Linked DNA regions of Mus musculus. Each later gene encodes a partner of the first gene's protein in a complex. Links are inferred from orthologs where the notes say so. Each region holds a gene or a part of one and is shown in the gene's direction. Other genes may lie near its edges. The genes, in order: Nsun4 and Mterf4.

Region 1 (3,809 bases):
TGTTCTGACCAGAACAAAAACCCAGACGAGGGTAGAAGGTGCATTAACAAGACTGCCATCAGTAGTATCTCAGTTGTTACAATGAGGGCCAACTCCTCGTCTGAAGTCTTCAGTTCTTTTTTCAATCTGACTCAAGTCCTTCACTGTTGGCCAATAGCAGTCATTCTTCTTTAATTCTTACCTAAAGATTCTGTGAACTGTCTTTATTCTGCCTTCCTGGGAAACCTAAAACCTCTCAGCTCTATAATTCTGTGCATTACGTCGTCCAGTCACTGCATTATCTTAGGTGAGTGACTCATTGCTCTATCAGATGGGAAAGAGAATTATTGTTGTTGTTTTTGTTGTTGTTGTTGTTTTTCAAGACAGGGTTTCTCTGTGTAGCCCTGGCTGTCCTGGAACTCACTCTGAAGACCAGGCTGGCCTCAAACTCAGAAATCCGCCTGCCTCTGTCTCCCGAGTGCTGGGATTAAAGGCGTGTGCCACCACGCCCGGCAGAGAATTATTTGTATCCTATTGAGCACCACTGCCATAGAGCTCTCTCATAAGCTAATAGACAATAACAAGCTTTGAAAACAGGATTGTAAAGAATAGAAGTGCCAGGCATGGTGGCACACACCTTTAATCCCAGCACTTGGCAGCAGGGTCAGGTGGATCTCTGTAGTTTGAGGCCAGCCTGGTCTACAAATCAAGTTCCAGGACAGCTAGGTTTATGCAGAGAAACCATCTGTCATAAAAAGCTTTAAGCCTCAAGTTTCCCCAGGACCTTCACAGTTTCTTCAAAAGTTCTCCCTTGGGTTACTTAAGTACCCCCTTCACATTTGCTAGGTATAAATCTAGGGCCTTGCTTGTGCTAGGCAAGCACTGTTATACACTGAGCACACATCTCAGGTGCACACACACACATCTCAGAGCACACACATTGAGGTACATCTCAGATTAAGCCCTCAACCAATCTCTCCCTCCTATTTTTTTTGAGATGCTTCTATGTGTCTTTGTGTGTGTGTTTGAGATAGAGTATCTTGTATCCTAATTTGTCTTGAATTCTATATAACCAAGAATGACCCTCTTTTCTACCTCCAGAGCAGTAGGATTATAGGAGACTTTTTTTTAAAAAAAAAGATTTATTTATTTTTATTTATATGAGTACACTGTAGCTATCTTCAGACACACACCAGAAGAGTGCATTGGATCCCATTACAGATGGTTGTGAGCCACCATTTGGTTGCTGGGAATTGAACTCAGGACCTCTGAAAGAGCACTCAGTGCTCTTAACTGTTGAGCCATCTCTCCAGCCCCATATAGGAGACTTTTTAAAATGACATTTATTTATTGGTGTGGGTATGGTTTATGTGCATGTGTGCATGTATGTGCTACGGTCCACCTTGGGAGGTAGGACAATAAGTAAGGGAATCAATCCTTTCCTTCTGCCCTGTGGGTCTCAAAGATCAAACACAAGTAGTCAAGCTTAGTGGCAAAAAGCCATCTCAACAAGAGATTCCTGATGTATTACTCACCCTGGCTTCGAATTTGCTTTTGTAGCCCCAACGTTAGCTTTGAACTCTAGATCCTCCTGCTGAGTACTGGGATTACAAGTGCACCACTCTGCCTAGCATTGACTCTCTTTTTTGATGACCCCTAGAGTTACTATGAGAGGTATGTGTCCCTTCCAATCTGTGATATGAAGGCTAACTTCATTCTCTCCCAGTTCTTCCTTTGGTAGGCAGAAGCAAGATGCAAAGATAGGAGAGAGCACTGAGTGGACTTGAATTTGCCTTGGAGGTCTGAGGTATTGGTAGATATACTGGTTAGTTTTATGTCAGCTTGACACAATTTACCTAGAGTTATGTGAAATGAGGGAACCATAATTGATAATTTGCCTCCATAAGATCCAGCTGTAAGGCATTTTCTTAATTAATGATTGATGGGGGAGGGCCCAGCCTATTGTGGGTGGTGCCATCCTTGGGCTGGTGGTTCTGGGTTCTATAGGAAAGCAGGCTGGGCAAGACATGAGTAAGCAAGCCAGCAAGCAGCAGCCTCTGTGGGCTCTCTGACAGCTCCTGCAGTGCCTGCCCTATTTGAATTCCTGCCTTGGCTTCCCTCAGTGATGGAGTGTCACCTGGAAGTGTAGGATGAAATAAACCTCCTTCTCAAGTTGCCTTGGTCATGATGTTTCATCACAGCAACAGAAACTGCAGTAAAGTCACATGATAAGAGATAAGAGTCAAGACTGGAATGATTAATACACTTGCTCTTTCTCTCTTAGGCTACCACAGAACCACAATTCACGGCCAGTCGGCTTGCTCTGCAGAATTTTGACATGACCTACAGTGTACAGTTTGGGGATCTTTGGCCATCAATCCGTGTTAGTCTTCTCTCAGAGCAGAAGTATGGTGCATTGGTCAATAATTTTGCTGCTTGGGATAGTGTGAGTGCTAAGCTGGAGCAGCTGAGTGCCAAGGACTTCGTCAGTGAAGCCATCTCTCACCAGAAACTGGAGCCTGAGAGTGGCCTCTCTCCAACTCCATCCCTGGACTGCAGCCCAAATCTTCGATGCTTCACTTTTTCCAGAGGGGACGTCAGCCGCTTTCCTCCTGCCAGGTAGGGGCTGGAATGGTGGGGTCATTCTGAGTGCCTGGTACAAGTGGATCTGAAGAGCTCAGCCCTGCCCTCCAGTTTTGTTGGTATGTCTAGTGTTTGCAGACTAGGTGTTTGCCCAAGTGCTGTATGTGTACTCTCTCTCTTGTCAGTACCCTGATGGGAATATAATAGCTGCTCTTTTTTTATATTTGAGGTACAGAGAAATTAAGAAAGCTACTTGCTTTTGATCATCCAGAGAGCAAGTGGTGTATTTGGTATTTAGTCCTAGCAAGTTTGAACCCCAGAACCTGCACTCGGAGCCTGTTCTGCATTCTGCAGAAAACATCTACCTTTCACAAGAGCAACTCACTGCATCCTTCCCAGTGAAGATGTGTCTCCCCTTCTCCTTTGCCCTGTCAGCCACCTGTGAGAGGAGGAGGAGAGGAAGTGGACTCTGATAGGAAATAGGGGTTGCCCAGGAGTGCAAGTTAGTGATAGACCTGAAAAAAAACAGAACTTTGTCTCTTCCAGAGGTGGTGCTTGTGTGTATGAAGTTCAGTGGGAAAAGACTGTACAGCCAAGTGCTAAGTTGTGCTTTATGCCTTGAGAATAGGAAGGTGGATATAGTGGTATAAGCTTATGATACCAGAACTTGAATGGTAGGCTTGAGGCTGGAATGGAACACACACACACACACACACACTCCGGCCCTCTTCTCACTAATTCTTAAGGAAGCTTTGAGTTTTTATTCTTTTGTACCTTACTCATTCTTTTCTCTTTTGCCTAGAATGTTCTTCCATTTTTTTACCTAATGAAGGCCTCTGATTTCTTCATCAGGCCCAACTCAGGTAGCCCCAGTGCATATAGTTGATGACCATTCCCTCTGAACCAGTGAAGTACTTTGTATCTTAAAGTGTAACCTGATAAAATTGAATTCCTGCTATGTACCAGGCATGGTTTCAGGTCTTGGGAAGTAGTCCGGTGTCTTAGTCAGGGTTTCTATTCCTGCACAAACATTATGACCAAGAAGCAAGTTGGGGAGAAAAGGGTTTTTCAGCTTCCTTTTTTCACATTGCTGTTAATTACCAAAGAATGTCAGGACTGGAACTCAAGCAGGTCAGGGAGCAGGAGCTGATGCAGAGGCCATGGAGGGATGTTCTTTACTAGTTTGCTTCCCCTGGCTTGCTCAGCCTGCTCTCTTATAGAACTAAGACTACCAGCCCAGAGATGGC
Region 2 (4,562 bases), on another chromosome or scaffold:
ATACTTTTATCTGGGTCTAGATCTGTACATAACCATTTCAGGGAGAGTTTGGGCTGTCCTGAGAACTTATTGCTGTATTACAGTGTCCATCACAAACTACTTACCTCCTCTCTTCCTGTAAGCAGCCAGAGGTCATCTGCCAAGATGTTTCGCTACTCTCTTGACCCAGAAAAACCCCCCAAAATCATGCAAATCAAGAGGTTCAAACCTTCGTGTTCACTTTAAGAACACCCGGGAATCTGCCCAGGCCATCAAGGGTATGCATATCTGCAAAGCCACCAAGTATCTGAAGGACATCACTTTAAAGAAGCAATGTGTGCCATTCCGGTGTTATAATGGTGGAGTCAGTAGGTGCGCCCAGGCCAAACAATGCGGCTGGTCGGTGGTCAAAAAAGAGTGCTGAATTTTTGCTGCACATGCTTAAAAATGCAGAGAGTAACGCTGAACTTAAGGGCTTAGATTTAGATTCTCTTGTCATTGAACACATCCAGGTGAACAAGGCACCTAAGATGCGCCGACGAACCTACAGAGCTCATGGCCGGATTAACCCATACATGAGCTCCCCCTGCCACATTGAGATGATCCTCACTGAGAGGGAACAGATCATTCTAAAGCCAGAAGAGGAGGTTGCACAGAAGAAAAGGATATCCCAGAAGAAACAAGAAACAAAAACTCATGGCACGTGAATAAATTCAGCATAAAATAAATGCAGATAAAGTTAAAAAACAAACAAACAAACAAACAAACAAACCTACTTACCTCAAAGATGAGCCCAGGAACACAAATTTGGTTTTTCCAAAAGATTCTCCACCATGGATGAAGTTAGGTGAGATATTACTAGCTAGAGAATAAAGCCATAAATCAAGGCATTTACCAGACACATTGGTGGGGACCACAGATAGGAAGGATAAGGCAAAACTAGGAAAACACTTAACTCAGTTTTAGATATTATTTAGTGATGCTATTGGCTTTTGGATTGGTGAAAACCATTGTTGGTCTAGGAATATATTTTAAAGGTATTCATTGTCACAAAGCTGTTAAGTTAGACAGGTGGACGATGAATGGATTTCAAAAAGGCTAAGAATAATCCATGATAATTTGGTTTTGGTCTGCAGGATCCTAATTCCACAATCACAGCGTTATCTTATTTGGCCTTGTACTATCTTTAACACAGGTGATTGTTTTTTGTCATATTCTCCCCTCCTCCCCCGGCCCCAGTAAAAGTAGTTTCACAACAGAAAACGACGGTGTGCGCTTCGGGGTAGTTTGGTTTCACCTGTACTCTGAAGAGCAGTTTTAAAACCCAGGTAGTGTTGCTTGTTCCTGGCAGAGACCATGCAACCGAGTATGCCCAACTAAAGGGAGCTGCACCTGCAAGCTGCAGGTGCTGGGCACGAGCATCTGGGATCAAGGGCTTGGCTGCGGAACGAAAGAACGCCACACCCCGGGAGTTCGGCGGACACAGATCGGAGGCCGGACGTTGTGAGCCAGGAAGGACCGCCTCTTCCGGTCTCACAGTTGTTCTTCGCTTGGTCTCCATGGCTTCGCTGGGAAGGCAGGTGAGGTTGCCCTAGGTCCCGGGCTCACAGCGGCTGTTGGCGGGACGTTCAGGAGGCGCTGACGCTGGTTCTTGGTGTTCCGGTCTGGGCACCTTGTGGCAGTAGCGCTCCCGGGTGGCGTGTGCACAGACAGTGTGGCCCTCAGAATAGCTTCTGGCTTCTCCGGAGTTTCGGCTGTGTGCTGCCTAATGGCTAGGGAGGCCTGGACCACCACCAGCGGCAAGAGCGGGGTGTTTGAGACCATTCTGGCGGGCACCGGATGCTCTGTGCTTAATTTGTTATGTGCTAGTCCCAACACCTGGGGCTACTGTGTACAAATCGACAGATTCCTTCCCCCAAATATTCTTCTTTTAATGGAAGGGATCCTTGAAAAACAAAACAAAACTATCCTTTGTTGGAATGAAATTAGGTAGTGTACCTGTCTGGTGGCTAGTCTGAGGTTCAGAATTTTCAACCAAATACTATTGCTCGTGCCCTGTATCTTCAGTATGTAGATATTGCTTATGCTTCAATATCTTCAGTAAGTGCGGTCGTTTGCATGCTACTTTTATTCTTTGGAGACTTTTTAGACCCAGAGAAGATTTTACAGATTGTTTACAAAAACTGTTAGCTTTTGTGGGCCAAGGGTCAAGCTGAGGTTCAAGGTTACTGGCTCAGTAATCTTGTGGTGGTCATTATTCTGAGGTGGGACTGATTCTGTTTTTGCTCTGCCTTACAGGTTCCTGAGTGGCATCGTCTACTGGCCCTCTCCTGGGCCTGTTTGGTTAGGCAGACCCCTCATCTCAGAGAACAGAAACAGATGAGCCCTTCTTTGTCTTGCAAACTGACTACAGTGCCCGGTAGAGGAAGCTTTCAAGAGTTTTCCAGCATTACACCCCAAAAGTACATGCAGGAACCAGAAAACAGGACACGACTTGTTCAGTGTCTTCATGAGGAACAGAAGCCTTGTGTGGATCCTGAGTCCTTGGAGCCTGAAAAGGTCATCCGTTCCCTCCAGGACATGGGTTTTGCTGAAGCCCACATTCACAGCTTGTTTAGTATACAGCCAAGTGTCCATCCTCAACAGTTGCTGGGTATAGTTTCAGAACTCCTACTCTTGGGGTTGAACCCAGAGCCTGTATTTAATGCCTTGAAGAAAAATCCCCAGTTGCTGAAACTGTCTAGCATGCAGATGAAGAGGCGTTCCAGTTACCTTCGGAAGCTTGGCCTTGGAGAAGGTATAAGATGCAGCAGACTTTATAGAGGGAGAGGAGTCAGTTAGGGAGAAAATAGCTTACCCTAGCAGGGATGTCCAGCCTTTTGATAGTAAGGCATGGAATTGTCACCTACAAATGAGCTAGGCTGCATTCATCAATACCCTGGGATGCATGTGTGCTGTGGGCTAAACACACCTTACTCAGAGGAAGTGAGGTAGGAAAGTTTGCTGAGGAGAGGTCAGTGTCTTCAAGAAGATGTGCAGTGGGCTCTCTGCAGATGCCGTTGTAAGGGGGATGTGGGATAGAGGAGCCCAAGAAGAGAGAACCAAGGCCAAAGTGAGCCTCCTGTGTGTTCATTGAGATCTCTAGCTCCAGATCAATGGGGACATGGAGTCTGGTTTTGGTGGGTTAGTGTTGCTCTATGGTAGTGATGTATGTGTATGCAAATGTGTGACCTCCGCAAAAACATCCCACACACAGCTTTCAGAGCTGATGGTGCCCGGTTCCTGGAAGGCTGTTAGAGTGCCCTCCACCTTCCAACAGCTGTCACCCTTCTGGAGAAGGGAGGTGGGGCTCTCCAGTGAACTCTACCCATTTGACTGCTTTTATTTCATTACTGACTGTTCCTGGTAAGATTTCACCCCCAAAGTGGGGAGGCTTAGAGCCCACTGTGTTTGGTGTCTCGGCATGCCTCCTCTAGAAGATAAGCAAAAAGATAACTGTGTTCCCCTTGACACGTTGTCTCTTGTAACATGATCTAAGCCCAAGCTCAGTCAGTGTGTGAAGCACAGCCTGAGAGGAGAAAATAAAGCTTACTCTTTGGAAACGCCTCTTCACAGGGAAGCTAGGCTGTTAGGAAAGTTACTTGACAGTCTTAAGTGGCTTTTAAGTTTCCAGTTTTTAAATCGGCACAACTATTCATCAGAAGACCATTTGCTTCACTTATGAAGCCCTGCTTATATCATTTGTCTGAATACAGTTACTAATGTAACTCAGTAAAACACGGGGAGGCTGGGTGTGGTAGTGCATTCTTTTAATTGAACTCTATAGTCAGGAGGATGGAGCTCTGCAGGTTCCAGGCCTTCCAAGGAGACCCTACAAAACAAACAATAATACAGTTGGATATAACACATGGTCACGCTCAGACTACTTATAATTGTGTGTTCTGGATATTCTTGTTCCTACCATTGTTCCTAAAGGCCTCTTCATTGAGCTCAGACTCTCAAGTCTAGAGATTGTTAGTCTCTATACAATGTCTAGATTATACAGAGAGAAGCAGCAGCCTGAGCCCCACTGTGCAGGAAACCACTCTCCTCTAACATTCCCCAGTGAATCCCCGGGAAGCTTTCTATGCTAGGCAAGCAAGAGGAGACCTAGAGTATGAAGTTGCCGCCTTCAGATAGAAGACTAGAAAAAGGCAGGGACATAGGGAGGGTTGTTGGGTCTGTGAAGAGTCCTTTGCGTGGTGCTTCATGGAAAGTAGATCTCTGAATGGGCAGTCCTGTGGAGGGAGAGGATCCTGCTGTGCCCCCATGTGGGTGCCACAAGACAACTTCTAGAGTTGATTGTCTGCTGCCACAATGTGGGTCTTGGGGATTGAACTCAAGTTTCAGGTTTGCTGGCAGGTGCCTTTACCCACTGACTCATCTACCAGCCCCTAAATGTTGTTTAGCCCTTGGCGTTCGGGAACATGCCAAAGTTACATGCTTTGCTTAACACTCTACAGGGAAACTGAAGCGGGTGCTGTCCGTTTGCCCTGAGGTTTTCACCATGCATCAGCGGGACATTGACCGAGTTGTGAAGGTCC

Evidence for each region.
Region 2: the proteins of Nsun4 (region 1) and Mterf4 are in contact, whole or in part, in a crystal structure (PDB 4FP9), measured with the Homo sapiens proteins. The link is inferred for Mus musculus from reciprocal best matches to the Homo sapiens genes NSUN4 and MTERF4. Residues at the interface, in NP_950245.2 of Homo sapiens: Pro61, Ser62, Arg64, Val65, Leu68, Ser69, Glu70, Arg136, Gly137, Asp138, Ile139, Arg141, Asn367, Leu368, Met369; in NP_872307.2 of Homo sapiens: Tyr267, Glu269, Arg270, Leu271, Gly272, Arg273, Glu311, Glu312, Val315, Phe316, Lys318, Leu319, Arg322, Glu323, Glu326.

Annotation. Positions count from the first base shown.
Region 1 is NC_000070.6:116,047,119-116,050,927, reverse strand, and holds part of Nsun4 (putative methyltransferase NSUN4), read left to right. Parts: exon of another isoform or gene 1-286; intron 287-1,705; exon of another isoform or gene 1,706-1,786; intron 1,787-2,263; coding exon 2,264-2,598; intron 2,599-3,809. UniProt on the Homo sapiens protein: Mitochondrial RNA cytosine C(5)-methyltransferase that methylates cytosine to 5-methylcytosine (m5C) in various RNAs, such as rRNAs, mRNAs and some long non-coding RNAs (lncRNAs).
Region 2 is NC_000067.6:93,302,822-93,307,383, reverse strand, and holds the start of Mterf4 (transcription termination factor 4, mitochondrial), read left to right. Parts: upstream 1-1,504; 5' UTR 1,505-1,538; coding exon 1,539-1,559; intron 1,560-2,277; coding exon 2,278-2,776; intron 2,777-4,481; coding exon 4,482-4,562. UniProt on the Homo sapiens protein: Regulator of mitochondrial ribosome biogenesis and translation. Binds to mitochondrial ribosomal RNAs 16S, 12S and 7S and targets NSUN4 RNA methyltransferase to the mitochondrial large ribosomal subunit (39S).